4 linked regions of the Caenorhabditis elegans genome follow. The protein of the gene in region 2 interacts with the protein of the main gene of each other region in a pairwise test. Each region holds a gene or a part of one and is shown on either strand. Other genes may lie near its edges. The genes, in order: hlh-30, magu-1, kca-1 and T11B7.1.

Region 1 (4,726 bases), on a different chromosome or scaffold from region 2:
CAATGCGAAAACGAATCCGGATTCAAACGTACAACACTAATAATTAGGACTTCACAATTTTAGAAAAATAGTTCAAATAAAGAGTGATAACGAAATTTGTACAAGTTTCGAATTCCTGGGAAACAAACTCTAATGGTCGAAAAAATTTCTAGAAAAAAGTTAAGTTCTCAACGTTCTTAAATACATTAGAATTCTATGAAAATCAGATTTTCCCTGAATTCTACAGGTTTCAAAATTAGGGGGAAAATGTACTGATTGTGAAAAAAAAAAGATCCCAGGTTCCGAGAAATTTCAATTTTTTTTTGTAAGATGTTTTTTTTTCCAAAAAGCTTCCAGAATATTTGCCTAGTTTTCCTCATGCTTTAAAACATTGAAAATCTCTCAAAATTTGGTTTTGGAGAAATTCTACGGGACTTGAAACTAGCGAAAATGCACTGACAAAATGGGGAGAAAAAGTCCTAAAAATTTCCAAAAAGCTTTGAGAATGCGTTATAAATCTGGGAAAATCCGATTATGAAAAATTCGACGGATTTCGAAATAATCGAAAAAAAAACTCTGCTTTTTTCAGAAAAAGTTTCAAAAAGCTTGGCCTAAACATTGAAAAATTAATAATCTCAGAAAATTTGGTTTTGGATAAATTCTACGAGCATCGAAGTTTGGCAAAAAAGTTTCAAACGAAATACCGGGAACTTGGAGTTAGCTTCGTGGGTTTTTGTAATGAGCTAGTCAAATGGTACAGACTCGTATCATAAAGTCAAATTTTATTTGATGCGCTGTTGATAGCTAGGGTCCTATTCGACCTTTTAGTCCACATACAGCCCCCTCCCTACCCAACCAATCAACTTGAAAGTTCAACTCAAACATCTCATTGTCTTCTCAGTCCTATCCACCACCACTACCACACGTCAGAGACCATCGGAGAGTGTAAAAACAACCGGACGCCGAGAGAAGCTAGCCGAACACCACGTGACACTGTCCAAGAGGCAGACAGAGACCCGGGGGGGGGGGGGGCTACGTGCCAAACGCAAGATTTTTTCAGCGCCCGTTTTTCGTTTTTCAGCTGTTCCGTCTAGGGTGGAGTCATCTGGGAGTGGGAGAGACCGCAGAATGTGGAAGGAAAAATATGGAATGGGCGCCGTGGCGCAAAAGTGCTTGAAAACAAATACATGGCTCAGGGGGGGGGGTCATATTGTTAAAGCCAATCAAGAACAATTTTTTTGTAAAAATTCAAACTTCTATAATTTGACCCTACGACGTTAGGCTAACAACAGATGCCAAAAAAGGGAGATCTACAAGAAAAATGAAAAGATATCAGTTTCAGGGGAGCAAGTTGGAAGAAATTTTTACGTAAAGTTTGAAGATCTATAATGTCGAGCAATTTAATTGTGTGCCTACGCCTTTAAGCGAAGAAGAGCAGGGTTTAAGCTTATTTTGAGCCAAGAAACCCCAACTCTTGAAAAAGGTACTTTTACACAGATTAAAAAAAAAGAACCACAAAACAATTTAGTTACCGGGGAGCCCTTTCAGGCCCACTTTTTTTCATAAGAAAAAAATTCCAAAAATTCTGCTTTTTTTCTTACTATTAATTGAGCTGGGTAAAAAAAACTTGTAAACTACCTTTAAACTTTCCATAAAATCGTTAAAAATTATGTTAGAATGCAGTATTTTGTTTCGTTTTTTGTTTTATTTCTGTAGAGACTTTGAGCTCAAACAATGTAAGAAAACAAAAATTTTCTTTTAATAAAATTTGAAACTAACCGGTTGAATATTGCCGAACAACATCTGATGCGTCTGCTGCATCTTCCTTGGACTACTTAATGCCGCTCCACTGCTCCCTCCGCCAAAGTAGCTCTGTGTAGGCGCTGAGCCGAACGGTGTCGACGTCGAGCCCATCGATCGTTGTGCGATTGGAATCAGATTTCCCGTCTCTCGACGTTGTTCCATCTCAAAATACAAAATAAGAAAAGAGATAGAAATCATTATGGAAAGATAACTACTAAATTTCGGTCGTTGATGCACCATGAGCGCTCTGCTTTGTTTACTACTACTATATTGGCGGCGGCGGCGGGCGGGAAGTTGGCAGTGTGCCAAAAACATTGTGTCTATATCTCTCTAATTTGGGAGATAGGGAAATCAAAGCCGATCAGAAAACTGAGCAGCCCTGTTACTTGATAAATTAGCTGCCCCTGTCGCCACCGCCTCGCCGGCCCCAAAGTGATGACAATTGGCGTCGAGAGATGAGAAAACTGAGTTTGAAATTCGATTTGTGATTTGAAATTGAAATCGGATCAAGCTTAGAAAATGGGCGAAGAGAGCAAAGTACAATTTTAAGCGAGGTTTGTAAATTTTTAATGCGAGTTTTGGCTCGCAATGAAAATGGTAATGCGATTGGTAAATTGATAAAGTAGGTCAAAACTGATATCAGCTCAAAGAACGTTGATAGGACTGAAACTAGAAGCCTGTGTCAAGCCCAAACGGACCGCCGAAACCACAAACTACAAAACAATCAAGTCTCATTCGCTCTCTTGTTTCTTTTCTCTTTTTGTGTATTGTCACCACACATGACCGGTCAATCAATCGTCAGATGGGGGTCTTATCTTGAGCGAATTTCAAGACAAAGTTCTGGTGAGTTAGGCTACTCAAGTGTCCCGGAAGGAAGTTGGGTGCCCGGAGCAGGAAACTAAAAGCGGGGGGAAAGAGAGCTGATAAGAAACGGGGCTATTTGAAGGGTGTAAAGACCAAATGTCGTTGGCCTAAACCTGAACCTAGAAAATTATTAGCCCTTACACTTTTGCCGGCGCCAAATCGAAACTGCGACGCGTTAGCCTGATATGGCTCGTCATCGTAGAACTGTTGCTGGGCTTGTTGTGGTTGCTGCTGCTGTTGAGCACCCGGTGGCTGCTGGGCTCTCGGATTGTTCAATCCGAGGCCGCCGCCACCGCCTGGTGAATTTAGTTGGCGGATCATGAATGCTCTTATTCGCTGATTTTTTTTTTCAGTATCGGGATCTGAGAATTAAAAAAAAATCAATCGATAAAAAGGTATATTGGTTGGTAGAAAAAAAGGAAAAAAATTCGAAAGGGGGAGAGGGAAAAGAGCGAAAGACAAGAGAAGAAACCGAGTGGAAGGGTCGGGAGAGAGGCGCCCAAAGGGGTCGCGGGAGACCGAGGTGATACGAGAGGACGAGGCGAGAGAGCGGCAGACACAATGTGACATATCAAGAGGTCGTCGCCAGCAACAGCAGCCCCTCCCCAAAGGATCGAGCGAGAGGCGCGAGAGATGGGGCACACGGGCGCACACGCGCCCGCCCCTATCTCTTTCTCTCACAGCCTCCACCACCGATCATTTCGTTTATTACTGTGTCCCCCACCTCCTGCCAAGTTCTTGTCGAGACAATGGCGATTAGGCTACTTAAGGGCAGTTGGGGGTGGCTAGCTGTCTGCGTAGCTGGAATCCTAGAATACTAAACTCCTAAACAAAATCATTGGCCCCATCCTAATTACAAGATAGTAACGGTCCATATAGTTAAGACATCAGAGATTAGGTCGAGAAAAATAAGAAGAACACAACAAACTGTATTCGGAGGAGGTGGCCAGAGATCTTTTTTTTTGAACAGTTTGATGGGCTTGATTTGATTAGAAGAAGATTAAAAGATGAGGGAGATCAAAATTCGGTTTTGAAAAATCTGAGAAATTCAAAAGATAAAGCTAGCTTAACAATTTAAGGCCTTTGTTCGGACAAGGATTTTTTTCTAGGTTCGGGCAATGGAGCAGTATGCAATCTAAGGTGATCTAAATAAAATCAAAAAGTGTTATTAGATGTCCTGAACAAAATATTCCAAAAATTCCTACCTTGAGGGCGAACAATTAGGAAGCTAAGCCTAAGAACCTAAGCCTTCTGGAGCTGCACCTAGGGACTTCTGACATTTGAAGCTTACTTAGGTCGTTCGAAACAGGGTTTTCAGGAAAATTAGAATTTTTTAAGCTTCCGAGGTTCAGAAACAAAAAAATGGCGAAAACGGATGGATCAAAAAAGACAACTTGAAGAAAATGTTATCGTTCTATGATCCGAGTAGAATTTTTACCCAGCGGCTTTGCTGGAAGTTTTAGGGGGTCTGGAAGTGGCACTCTATCAATTTCAAAAAGTGAGACCTCACAAAGTCTCTAAGTCAACAAAAACCTGGAAAAGTCGATTTTTTTTCAACCCAAACACAGGTTATCATCACAAAAACATGACAAAGAAATGATCCAAAGCAACAATGACGCCATCAAAAGTTTGTTTTAAATTCCAACCAACGCAAAGAAAATACGAAAATAAAACAAAACTATTCGACAAAACCCTCTCTTTTTAGGCGACGAAGGAGAATTCGGCCTCCCGCCGCCAACTGATAAGCGCGGCGCCTATTCTCTTTCATAATTAGTGTGTGATGATTATGATAGTGATATGTGTATGTACAATGAAGTTTTGGGAATTTGCAAGACGCAGAGAATTGTTACTCGGCAAACAGTAGGGGGGGGGGGGCTAACTGAGAAATAAAGGAGGAGTTGGGGCGCCGGATTGGTGGTATTGTGATATTTCCAGAGGTCGGGGCAAATATTGATGATTAAATTGAAAAAGGGTTTAAATTGACAACACTTTTTGCTCAATTTCTCGTAAGTTTGAATTTCAGATTTAGAGTCCGAAACTTAAGACCCTAGGCTTAGATCTATAGGCTTGGCTCCCTGGT
Region 2 (4,680 bases):
AAGAAAATTCTGAAAAAAAGTGCAAAAGTGGAATTTTCTGGATTTCCAAAATTCCAATTATCTGGATAAAAACCACGTGTAATTGGTTTTTTTTTAAATGAAAAAATTTCTCTTTTTTTTACCTAAAAAGTAACGAAAAATCCATTTTTCTGTTCAAAAACTCGCAAAAAATTGATTTTTTACTTAAATTTCACTGAAAATTCCCATTTTTAACCTAAAAAATCCCAAAAAAATCGATTTTTCGCGCTAAAAACCCCACAATTTTCAGTCGTGAACGTTAAAAATCGCCATTTTAGCTAAATTTCCACTGAAAATTCTCTTATTTTTTACCTAAAAATTAACGAAAAATCCATTTTTATGTTCAAAAACTCGCAAAAAATAGATTTTTTACTCAAATTCCACTTTTTTTTTCGATTTTTTGAATTTTTAAGGATCCGATTGGACTTTAGTGTTGCCAATATTTTATAGCGTTTAAATTGAAAAAAAAACTACGCTTTTTAAAGAAAATTCTGAAAAAAAGTGCAAAAGTGGAATTTTCTGGATCTCCAAAATTCCAATTATCTGGATAAAAACCACGTGGAATTAGATTTTTTTAAAATTAAATTTTCTCATTTTTCTGAAGTCATAAGTCACTTTTAAACCCTTTTTCCAAAATTATACCTCTAAAAATGACTGAAAATCATCTGAAGTATCTATTCCATTTTCTGGAATTTCCGATTGACACTGTAGCCATTCCGACGGTACGAGACCCACTTTTTCTGAAAAAATCATTATTTTTGGAATTTCAGAGCGCAATTTTCTCACTGGAATCATCTCGATTCTCGTCATCATGACTCTCTTTCCGCCTCGCCAGTGCTCCGAATCCGATTTTTCGAGTTTGCCACCAATATTGGTCCTTTTCGTCGAGGATCTCTAGAATATCACCGCCGCGGAAGGAAATTGCAGCTTCTGGGCAGGGATGACGTTTGTCCTGCCATGGATCGTAGTCGAACTGAAAACTAGGAAGAATTCTAGGCTATTTTTACGGAATTTCTACTTGGAAATTGAAAAATTTGCGAATTTTGGACTAAAATTCTGAGAAAAACTAGAAAAAACCACTTACCAAAGCTCGGGCATACCGATGTGACGACTTTTTCTGCTTTAACTTCTGGTTTATTTCTGCAGGGATCAGCTTGAAGGTTATCTGAAAAATAATATTGGAAATTTGAGAAAAAACGTGTATTTTTATAGATTTTCTTAAAAACTTTTTTAGTTCAGGCTAAAAGTTACAAATTACTGAGAAAATGCAAATTTTTTCTGATATTTCAGGTTTTTTTTTTAAATTATAATAAATCCATCTTCAATGTTTTTTAACAAATACAGAATTTTTTAGCAATTTTCAGGTATACAAGACGATACGAATATGTGATTTTTTACAAATTTTCTCTGATTTTCGTGATAAACTGCTAGGAAATTGTTGTTTTTTCGAATTTTTTAAAACAAAATCACTAACAATTCCATTATCACATTTATCCAGCAGCTTCACGATTTCCCTGGGCTCCTTATCCGCTACAGTAATCCCATTGACCTCCAATACTCGATCGCCTTCCTGAATACATCCACTACGGTCTGCCACACCGTTCGCCATTATTCGTGCCACGTATACTTTGCCACGTTCGCATTTTATTGTTGCACCGAGGGGTTCGCCACGTCGCACTATTCGCACCTGGAAAATTGAAACAAAAAATTAGAAAAATGAAATGGAATATAAAATTTTTGGGTCTGTTAAATATTTAGCAGACCAAAGTTGGGTATGCTAAATATTTAGCAGACCCAAACCAATATTTAGCAGACCAAAGTTGGGTATGCTAAATATTTAGCAGACCAATGCCAATATTTAGCAGACCCAAGTTAGGTATGCTAAATATTTAGCAGACCCAAGTTGGGTATGCTAAATATTTAGCAGACCAAAGTTGGGTCTGCTAAATATTTAGCAGACCATTGCCAATATTTAGCAGACCCAAGTTAGGTATGCTAAATATTTAGCAGACCAATGCCCATATTTAGCAGACCCAAGTTAGGTATGCTAAATATTTAGCAGACCAAAGTTGGGTCTGCTAAATATTTAGCAGACCAAAGTTGGGTCTGCTAAATATTTAGCAGACCAAAGTTGGGTGTGCTAAATATTTAGCAGACCCAAGCCAATTTTAGCAGACCAATAGAATTTTATAAAAGTGGAAATTTGAAAAAATTGTCAATTTTACTAGCCAATTTTTCCAAAATTTTGAAAATTTCAATAGAATTTCCGAACAAAAACCGTCGATCCTCACAATTTTCACAGCGACCCCATCATCCTCGTCAACTTCGAACGGAACGTCTGGAAGCTGCGGAGCAAACCGCCCGGCTGAAATTTCCTGCGCCGCCCATAATACTCCCTGTACACGTGGCAAATTTAGGAGCTCAACGAGTTGCTGAACCGACGAAGATTTGATATTTGAAATGTCCCAGTCGTCGAGAACGTTCTGTGATAGTTCTTGAAATGAGATCTCTTGTTTCTGGTCGTTTGTTGAGAAATTCCGCAGAATTGATACGGCTTTTTGTTGCTTTTTCGTTAAACTTGTTCGTGGAGGCCTTTCGTCGTCTGGAATTTCAGTAAATTGGTGTTTATTGCCACTTTTTTTTTCAAAAGTAGCTAAAATTTGCTTAAAAACCATAAAAAACTTGATTTTTTTAAGATTAAAAATGTTTAAACTAGCTTATTTATCTACTTAAAATTCTAAAAACCGTATTTTCAAAAAAAAAGTTATATTTGGGTCTGCGAAATATTTAGCAGACCAAAATTCCTTTAATTTTCGCCGAAATTGTATTATTCTTCCGCCAAGAATCTCTTTTATCTGCTCAATGTCTTGCAATTTCTCGATTTTCAAACACGTACTCTCATTAGATGTCCCCGCTGCTACTTCCTCTGCATAATCCAGTATTGTTCCAAATATTGCCGATAAATTGTCGGGCATTTGAGATCTGGAATTCGGTTTTTTCTTCAAATTTCTTCAAATTTCAGCACTAATTCGTAAAAATACACGAAATTTCTGTCAAAAAATCAATTGAAAGCGAAAAAATGAGCACTTTAGTGTAAAACAAAGGGGGAACCTTTTAATTTAGAGGGGCTCGGTTAAACAAGGCGTGCGGCGGAGTGTCGTTGCAAGGAAATTTGAATTTAAATTTTATTTTTTCAGGTTTGATAAAACGTATTTAAATTAAAATTTATGACATTTTTTTATTGTAATCGTTAATTTTTCGAGTTTAAATCAATTTTTGGCGAAGTTTAGTTCATAAATATCGACTTTCCTTCGATATTTCACAATTTTTTCGATTTTCTTCGAATTTTTCAATCATTCTTTTCTGATTTTGGAATCGAATTCCAGAAATTTTCGAAAATTAACTAAAAATTGATAACAAAACAAAATAACTGAAAGTTGTCCACGAGGAGTCCACAGAATACTTTCGTGGCGGGACCCGGCAGCGCGAAAACCTAGATTTCGAATTTTCATGTGAATTTTCACGTTTTTTCTCTGAATTTCGGTTGAATTTCTCCCCATCTTCTAATTTTCCAACAAATATTTCTGAATTTTCAGCAAAAATTCGGCGCAGATGCGCTTACTGACCCTCGCACTACTCGTCGCGGGTAGCTTGGCCTATAAATTCGAGGATTGTGAGCAAAAACCGGCAGGTAAGACTTTTTTAAAGTTTCAAAATTAAAAAAAAAATAATTTTCAGCTCTAAACCAGGTCCTTCGTGTCGGCGCCAAGCTTTACTCGTACAATCTCGACTTTTTCTATCAGAAAGCACTACCTTACAACGCGATATACGCGTTTACCGATGTTTTTTTGCAGACTAATCTGACAAATGCGGATCAATATCAGTTTTATCAGGTAGGTTCTCGGGAAATGCTTGCGAAAATATAAAATGGAGTTGTTTCAGGGTACAAACTGCACAACTGTTCAACAGCTTTACGATAATGACAATCGTTATTTCGGAATTTTACGGAAAGCCGCACTTTTGAGGTTTGGACCGCGAAAAAGACACAGATTTTATGATAAATCAGCAAAAATTTGTTGGATTTCGCTGATAAATAGAAATGTGCAACAGAGAAACGTGGAAATTTTGGTCTGCTAAATATTTAGCACACCAAAGTTGGGTATGCTAAATATTTAGCAGACCCAAAGTTAGAAGAAAGCCAATAATTCCGAATTTTCCGTCTAATTTTAATTAAAATTCGATTAAACTTTTGCGTTTCTGCTAGGATTTTAGTAAATTCATCGAAGATTTTGCAGAAAGTCACGGATTTTCGGGTATCCCAACTCTAGCTGTAAAATATTCTGAAAAATCCAACAATTAAACTAAATTTTGCAGATCTCATCAGTTAAATCCGTTCAATGACACAATCGTCGGCGTCTCCACAACTGAACCATACGAAATATCGGTTTTAATTTGGAGTTAGTATTAAATTGAATTTATTTTTAAAAAATCGTTAAACAAATTCTTCCAGAAGTCAACTATTTCCGTGTTGGTGTCTACGTCGGAGCAATCGTGCTATTTTTGCTCGCCAGCAAGCTCGTTAGAAATGTCGTCTTCTACTACACCAGTGGATGTTCTTTCGGATTGCTCGCTTCACTGCTCTTGGTGGCATTTATTGTGTGG
Region 3 (3,865 bases), on a different chromosome or scaffold from region 2:
AGACAAACTTCCATTGAAAAATTAAAGGTTCCAAAATGTAAAGGTGATGTAGTAATATTTGAGACTCTGCTCAAAAGCTTTTTATATGATCTAACAAGGCAATGTGCATAAGGGAAACATCACAAAAGTCTCCCAGAAAGATGTTATGATGTACAAAGTTCCAAATACTACTCTTTTCCTCGATCTAATTTGAATTCCGCGTGCAAATGATTTTTCAGATTCTCGGCCGTGTTCTCCTCTCGGGCAATGAACTTAAAAAAATTAAAGTTTCGGAGTTTATGCGATTCTTCGAATACTCGCATGATTATTTGTTTTTTCTGTTGAAATTTCAGAGTTTAAAACACATTTGATTTATTTCTAGAAATAAATTACTGGAAAATCAACAAAATACGGGATTAAATTTTAGCAACTTAACTGGATTTCAACTAGAAATGAAAAAATACCAAAGAAAAATGTTCTGAGCTCATGTAATTTCTTATAATTTTTTAAAACAAATTGGGAAGATTTTCGATTTTAAATCGATTTTTCATTGTCGCAAATATTGAAGGAAACTACAGTACTCTTTTAAAGACGCATGTGCCAAATTTTCCGGAGGTAAAGTCGCGCCGAGACCTGTGCAATGAAAGGCGCGTATTTTCGTATTTTCGTATTCTCATTTCACTTTTAGCCTTTTTGAATCACATTTTTCTCTTTTTTAGGATTAATTTTCGAAGCTTAAACTTAATTTTTTCGAAAATTTATTTATTCAATTTCCTTTTTCCACTTTTCCTTCCTTTTTTCCCAATTATATTTTCTCTTGCAGCCGTTCGATTCCAAATGGTTCGACAAGACGCCGGAGTGATGATCGGAGAAGATGCTCTGTCCTACTGCTCAGGGCAGAGCACTTCCGATTCATCATTTCGAACAATGAAATCGACTTCATTATCGAGCTCCTGGCATTCTATGGCATCTCCACACACTTCTGACGTACAAGGCGTCTCGTTCTTCCGGCCATTCAGCTGGTTTGTATGGCGTCAGACTGAGAAGGACTTGAAGAAGAAACAGGACAAAGAAACTGTCGATGAAATAATGAAGTGCTTCCGGAACAACGACGTCGACGGAATGGAGAAGTTTGTTGAAAAAAAGACTCGCGAGTCTGTGTCGTCAATGAAAAACGACGAGTTTTGGTGGGATGACGACGAGATTTCGTATTGGAAGCATCGAACTACTCCAGCACAAGATGAGCTTCCTGAGGATCTAATTTGAATTCCGCGTGCAAATGATTTTTCAGATTCTCGGCCGTGTTCTCCTCTCGGGCAATGAACTTAAAAAAATTAAAGTTTCGGAGTTTATGCGATTCTTCGAATACTCGCATGATTATTTGTTTTTTCTGTTGAAATTTCAGAGTTTAAAACACATTTGATTTATTTCTAGAAATAAATTACTGGAAAATCAACAAAATACGGGATTAAATTTTAGCAACTTAACTGGATTTCAACTAGAAATGAAAAAATACCAAAGAAAAATGTTCTGAGCTCATGTAATTTCTTATAATTTTTTAAAACAAATTGGGAAGATTTTCGATTTTAAATCGATTTTTCATTGTCGCAAATATTGAAGGAAACTACAGTACTCTTTTAAAGACGCATGTGCCAAATTTTCCGGAGGTAAAGTCGCGCCGAGACCTGTGCAATGAAAGGCGCGTATTTTCGTATTTTCGTATTCTCATTTCACTTTTAGCCTTTTTGAATCACATTTTTCTCTTTTTTAGGATTAATTTTCGAAGCTTAAACTTAATTTTTTCGAAAATTTATTTATTCAATTTCCTTTTTCCACTTTTCCTTCCTTTTTTCCCAATTATATTTTCTCTTGCAGCCGTTCGATTCCAAATGGTTCGACAAGACGCCGGAGTGATGATCGGAGAAGATGCTCTGTCCTACTGCTCAGGGCAGAGCACTTCCGATTCATCATTTCGAACAATGAAATCGACTTCATTATCGAGCTCCTGGCATTCTATGGCATCTCCACACACTTCTGACGTACAAGGCGTCTCGTTCTTCCGGCCATTCAGCTGGTTTGTATGGCGTCAGACTGAGAAGGACTTGAAGAAGAAACAGGACAAAGAAACTGTCGATGAAATAATGAAGTGCTTCCGGAACAACGACGTCGACGGAATGGAGAAGTTTGTTGAAAAAAAGACTCGCGAGTCTGTGTCGTCAATGAAAAACGACGAGTTTTGGTGGGATGACGACGAGATTTCGTATTGGAAGCATCGAACTACTCCAGCACAAGATGAGCTTCCTGAGGATCATAAATACACTCCACATCCATCGAAAGGATTCAAACTCCCTCCTCGTGTGTTGAAAGCAGTCCGATTCGAATTGGATAACACTCCGGAAGATCGTCAGCCACGGGTGAGAATATTTATTTTAACAACTTTATGCTAATTTTGTTGTTTTACAGCCGTTCACACCACTTTACACCAGCACGCCGAAGAATCCTGCAATCAATGAGGACGGAAGTGACGACGAGTACAGCTTGGTTCCATTGAGATATTGTGACTCCAACACAGTCGCTGTGCCAGCTGCAGTCTTCAACAACACTTCATCGATTCTACTTGATAATGCTGTAATTATGACAACGTTGAACAAGGTAAATTTCTTGAGTATATAATTTTATTGAACTAAAATCTTATTTTTTTAGAGTCGAGAGGAAACTAATGAAATTCTGTGCAAATCATTGAACAGAGATTTCTACCAGCTGGCCTATGTCGACTCGGAAGACGCTGAGCAAGACCACGGAAAGCCCGAACAATCAACTCAGAATCCCCTTTGCAACACATATGTCGTTCATTCGTCAGAGGAAATGTCATCTGAACCAAGCAGTTCGACCATCAACCTAGATCAAGCCAATGTTTCTGATGATGCGAGGAGCGCCATTCTGGGATTGGATCGTGTGGAAAATGCCATTCAGCGTGCACTTGCCAACCAGAATGGGCCAGAACAAGGACTCGCTAGGCAACTTCGAGAGCGCATCCAGAGCATCAAAAAGAGCATCGACGAGATCTGCAGCGAATGTCCGAATGGCCCGGAAATCGACACTGATCGTGTGAGCCGGGAAAGTGACCACGACGTATCCGCCGACTTCGAGGATTCGGATTGGCAGCCGCATTTGGAATCCGATGTCGGAAGTTTCGACGAATGCATGCTGTAAATAATATAAATTTATATTGATTAACTTGTAAAATACTCACCCATCCCGCTCGTCTTAAGTTTATAATTCCATGTCAAATATTATTATTCACAAGTGATCACATGTACTATAGTTTTATTGCAATATATTTTATTCTCGTCAAAAATAAAGACGATTATCACTTTAAATTTTATTTTGAAGGCGTCACTGTTGTAGGTCAGAAAGAAGCGGAAAATGGATTTGGATAAGCCGAAGTTGTACACTTACGAATGCTCCATAGCAATTTTTCCATATTTATTCACTGAATCATGCATTACATTTACTTTAAAGTTTCTTTTTTCTATTCAGATATTGCTCTTCATGCTATATTATCTGTTTAGTATGTAGTAATCGAAATCCAGTTAAACATTACACGCTTTTATTTATCAGGCAATCTATACAGGAGATAAAATGGCAAGGTGATAATACAGTAATGACGGTTTCACCGCCTCTAGTGAGTCAATATAAATAAAAAATATGTTCAGAATAGTCCAACTCTTTTCCGTGCATCGTTCTGTTTCCAAGTTTTTTGAGCATAAAATTCGCTTCTTTCAATTTTAAAAACTTTCATAAAATCGTCGTCAGTCAAGTAGCTCTCCAGACGTCTCATGTCCATTCCAGCTGGAAGACTTGTTCGTTCTTTCAGTTCTTCGAG
Region 4 (4,190 bases), on a different chromosome or scaffold from region 2:
AAAAATCAAATTGCTTTCAAAGATCTAATGAACAGAAATGTAAACTTTGGCTTGTCAAAAGTCAAAAATTTAGGGCATGTTCATCATCTTCCAGCGCCTTCGGTCAACCTAACAACATTTATGATTGTCTAAAAAATCGATAGCATGGAAAAATGACACCCTCGAGGAACATAAATAAGATAATTGTATCATTAGACGCAGAATAATCTCAAAATGATCCAGACTTTACGAACAGAATAAGAAATCTGATATACCCATCGTCTCAACAATCTTCTATCCATTCCAAGCCATGACAAATTTGAAGCGGCAACAGTGAAAAGTGGCCCACCGCTGGCTAATACGTACGGTTTTATAGCGGGCAAACTGAAGGCCGTCTTAGGTCCATTACCGGCTGTTGGACCGTCATTTGTCCACAGGTTGAGAAAGACTTTCAACCTGTTCGGGCTCGTCCGCAGCTGTTATAATTGTGACATTTTTTATACATAAGTTTGTCTTTGGTTCTTGGAAGGACTTATTGGAAGATTTTATTTCAGAAACAAGAACAGTTGGAACAGTGTAAAGTTAATCAGAATAATCAAGAAAATTTGAAAACAAAGAGAAAGTCGGATAAATGGGAAATCATGATATATCGTAGAGCGAATAACAAGAAAATCGTTGATTTGTGAATAGTTAAAATTTTTTAAAATATTAGTCATTGTAAGAAGGTACATTTAATTTCAATGAAATCTCAATTTTCTGATTCGATGCTATTCCTCTGACGAGCTGTCACCATCTGGTAAATCATCAGAAGCGCTGCTTTCAGAACTTTCATCTGATGAGCCTTCTTCCTCTTGAACTTCTTTTAAAGCTTCTAATTCTTTGAACGCATTCTTCAAATTTCCTCGAGAATTTCTGAGACGTTTTCCAAAATTTCTGACAGTCTTCGCCAAATCCTCAGAAATTTCGTTTTTCGGAATGAAATTCTTTTTCAATTCCATCATCTGCTCGTATTGATGTTCAAGCTTTAATTCTAGAGCATCCTTATCTTCAAGAGCATTTTCGTATGACCAACCAAGATTAGCGATTCTGTAATAATTTTTATGTGTTTTTAAGATCAACAAAATATAAATGTTTCGTCAAAACTTACCTTTTTTTCTGATCGTTAATTTGTCTTTGGAACCACTGAATCTCTTGATCTTTCTTATCGTGCACTTCAAGACTTTCCAAAATCAAACGACACTCCTCTTTATGCAACTGCAGCATCTTACATTCTGGTTCAAGTTTTTGATCGTCTGAAAACTTTTGAAGAATTTCAATAAGTCCCTGCAATGTTGGAGTTGGTGAACGATTCTCTGTTTTGTTTCCAGCTGTGAGCTCTCCAATTTTCGCTGTTTGATTATCAAGATAGTTTTTCAATGTATCGTTTTTTCTGAGCAGTTTCTTGTTTTCTTGAGCAGCCCTGAGCAGTCTGGAAAAAGTAATTACGAAACATAAAATGTTTGTTCTTACACTGCCAAACAGATTACTATATCTCGATGGCAGTGCATGTTATGTTTTCGGTCGACTATACAGATAAACATAGTTACCTTGATTCATAGAGCTCTTGTGTCTTCTTTATATCCATTTTAAGAATTTCAATTTCCTTAGCTTTTTTCGAATTCATTTCAAAATTTCCAACAGCTGACTGTAGTCCTTCACAAGTTAACTGAATATTTTTCAGTTTCTGATCAATACTTAGTTCTTCTTTGAATTGTTTCAACTGTTCGGTGAGCTCATCCAATGTTAGAGGATTCACATTTTTTGAATTCTCGTGATTTTGAATACTTTTCAAGTTTTGAAGTTTTTTGAATTTTTCAATTTGAACTTCAAAATCATTTTGCAAGTCAGCATAGTTGTCTTGCAAATTGGAACATTCATTCTCGAGTGTATAGATTTTTACAGAAAGTGCCTGTCTCATATCATCATACTTAAGCTTCTGACGGCTGAGTGTTGAATCTAACTTCTGGATTCTGAAACAAGTTTAATCTTACAAAAATTACGAAAAAACAGTATACTTACGTTTCCAAATGTTCATCCTGTTTTTCATTGAACTTTTTTTCCAAATCCTTGTAGTTTTTATCTTTTAATTGAATACTTTCAAGCTGTTCTTTAATCATTTGCAAATGAGGAATGGAAAAATTAATAGTTTTACTTTGTTTCTCAACTTGGACATAGCTTATGGTATCATGAAGAATATCAATTATTCCTTGAACTGTAGGCTTAGACGCTGAAATTTAATATACATTCACGAGGAAAAGTATTCAGAGGACTGCGTGACTATCGATGTTTCAGATTTTCAGACGGGATACATAAAACGCAAGTAGAAAAACCCGCATGACGTCACACTTTTTCTTTCATTCTCCGTAATTTTCCAGGAACAAATTGCGAATGGAACCTATCATACACGCGTGCGCGAGGCGATGTGACAGCTTCGATTAATTATACAAAAAAAAACGTCAGAAATAATATCATTCCTGTTATGAAACACTGTGATTTCAAAAATGTTTACCTTCCAATTGTCTTGTTTGCGGTGCTTGACTTTCTCCTTTTGAAACACTTGGTTTGATTCCTGACATTACTCTCTGAAAATCCAAAATCCTTGCACTAAAACAGATTTAAAAAAAAGAAGTTAAATGAAACCGTATTCATATCTTATAATATCATAACTACAATCATTTCCATACAATTCGTGCATTATAAACAAGAAAACAAATGAAAACCCTTCAAAAAACTCGATTAGCTACCGATATCAAGGCACTTTGGATGTAAAAAATAATAAATTAATCAGTCATCTCTTGACGATGACGTATGGGCAAGTCATCTGGATGAAAACTATAAAACAGAACGCTCATGTATATTATCGACTCGAAAAGAAGGTTTCCAAAAATTATCGATTCAATTTAGGTTTAGCAGATCTACGAATATACATTAAAAAATACTTGAGGAAAAGTTACTTAATTAGGGATCCTACAGAACTGACAGACCTAGAATAAAAGTAAAAAAGATTAAAAACGAGAAGAGGGAGGGAGAAAACACCGAATGCAAATGAATGGTATGTTGGAGATTTGTAGTGTTGGAAGAAACAGTGAACCACACTCTCCACGGGCAACGTACAGGGGTCATCTCATCTATTTGTTACGACGTCGAAGAGGCTCGCCACTCTGTAAGTAATATTGATTACTTGGTTTTGTGTATCGCATCCGATATCGGCCGAATGTACAATGAGATTTTTTTTCGAAATACCACTATTTTAGATGTCGCCATAAAAAATGTTTGAAGGTAACATAGATAACATTTTCAGAAGAATTTAAGTTTGAAAACGTGATCAATTAGGTTTTGGGCATCTGGAAATCATATGAAAAGCTAAATTTATACCTGTCGTACGACGACATCAAACGCTGATCCAGTTGATTGTAGTGGTACTGCCACGGATTCTGGCACAAACGAAGACGCGGTTGAGATTCGTGACGACGTTGACATTCTGGATGATGGGCGGGATGAGAGAGCTGGTACATTCGATGACATTGGCACTCGTGGAGAAGTTCGACGAGCCGCCGCTGAGAAGGTTTTTAGTTTCAAGTGAAGTTCTTCAATTGTCTTGGTCTGCTCGGCAATTTGATGACGATACTCCGCGATAAGACCTTCACGATCAGAAATCGTCAGATTTTGAACTCGCATATCCTGTTGAGCATTTGCAAGTTGTTGTCTGAAATAATATTAATATAAATCTATATTTAATTTTCTGATTGTGTGTTACTTTATTTTTTCGATTTTCACATGTCCGGAACATGCTATCAAATACTTTAGTTTAAAATAAAATTTCGTTCTATACACCAATTCATTTAAACGTTAAAAAGATTTAACTCACCTCAGCTTGACTAGCTCGACGTTTGATGTCTTCTGCTGTTGATCTTCTTCAGCAGGATTCTGAAGTTGTGCTTCCAGTTCTGCAATTTTTGCTGTCAGAACTTCGCATTTCTCACGATACTTGTCCATTTGAACGGCGAACTCGTCAGCGTGATCCAATAATCGAGCTTCCGAATCCTTAAGCAATCCATTCTGCTCCGAAACAATGCGAAGTTCTTCTTTTAACTGTTCCAACTCTTCCAGAGACTTCAGATCAGCCGATTCGGATGCCTCGATAAGCTGTTGCCGTAGATTAGAGACAAGAT

The links.
Region 1: the proteins of magu-1 (region 2) and hlh-30 interact in a two-hybrid assay, tested with the Caenorhabditis elegans proteins (one large-scale study listed by BioGRID).
Region 3: the proteins of magu-1 (region 2) and kca-1 interact in a two-hybrid assay, tested with the Caenorhabditis elegans proteins (one large-scale study listed by BioGRID).
Region 4: the proteins of magu-1 (region 2) and T11B7.1 interact in a two-hybrid assay, tested with the Caenorhabditis elegans proteins (one large-scale study listed by BioGRID).

Annotation. Positions count from the first base shown.
Region 1 is NC_003282.8:4,025,120-4,029,845, forward strand, and holds the start of hlh-30 (Helix-loop-helix protein 30), read right to left. Parts: upstream 3,009-4,726; 5' UTR 2,968-3,008; coding exon 2,788-2,967; intron 2,693-2,787; exon of another isoform or gene 2,609-2,692; intron 1,945-2,608; coding exon 1,759-1,944; intron 1-1,758.
Region 2 is NC_003281.10:468,703-473,382, forward strand, and holds the start of magu-1 (MAGUK family), read right to left. Parts: upstream 3,001-4,680; 5' UTR 2,994-3,000; coding exon 2,915-2,993; intron 2,621-2,914; coding exon 2,310-2,620; intron 1,706-2,309; coding exon 1,493-1,705; intron 1,184-1,492; coding exon 1,103-1,183; intron 992-1,102; coding exon 805-991; intron 759-804; coding exon 661-758; intron 1-660. Other genes in the region: nemp-1 (Nuclear envelope integral membrane protein), read left to right, coding at 3,631-3,709, 3,757-3,911, 3,961-4,043, 4,393-4,475, 4,529-4,680.
Region 3 is NC_003279.8:4,759,311-4,763,175, reverse strand, and holds kca-1 (Kinesin Cargo Adaptor), read left to right. Parts: upstream 1-1,854; 5' UTR 1,855-1,868; coding exon 1,869-2,393; intron 2,394-2,442; coding exon 2,443-2,631; intron 2,632-2,682; coding exon 2,683-3,192; 3' UTR 3,193-3,356; downstream 3,357-3,865. Other genes in the region: viln-1 (HP domain-containing protein), read right to left, coding at 3,692-3,865.
Region 4 is NC_003282.8:8,839,129-8,843,318, reverse strand, and holds T11B7.1 (Centrosomal protein of 162 kDa), read right to left. Parts: upstream 2,603-4,190; 5' UTR 2,595-2,602; coding exon 2,528-2,594; intron 2,246-2,527; coding exon 2,038-2,245; intron 1,989-2,037; coding exon 1,566-1,988; intron 1,448-1,565; coding exon 1,127-1,447; intron 1,066-1,126; coding exon 747-1,065; 3' UTR 514-746; downstream 1-513. Other genes in the region: T28C6.11 (uncharacterized protein), read left to right, coding at 3,058-3,181, 3,436-3,656; T28C6.7 (Kinesin motor domain-containing protein), read right to left, coding at 3,147-3,179, 3,394-3,724, 3,887-4,190.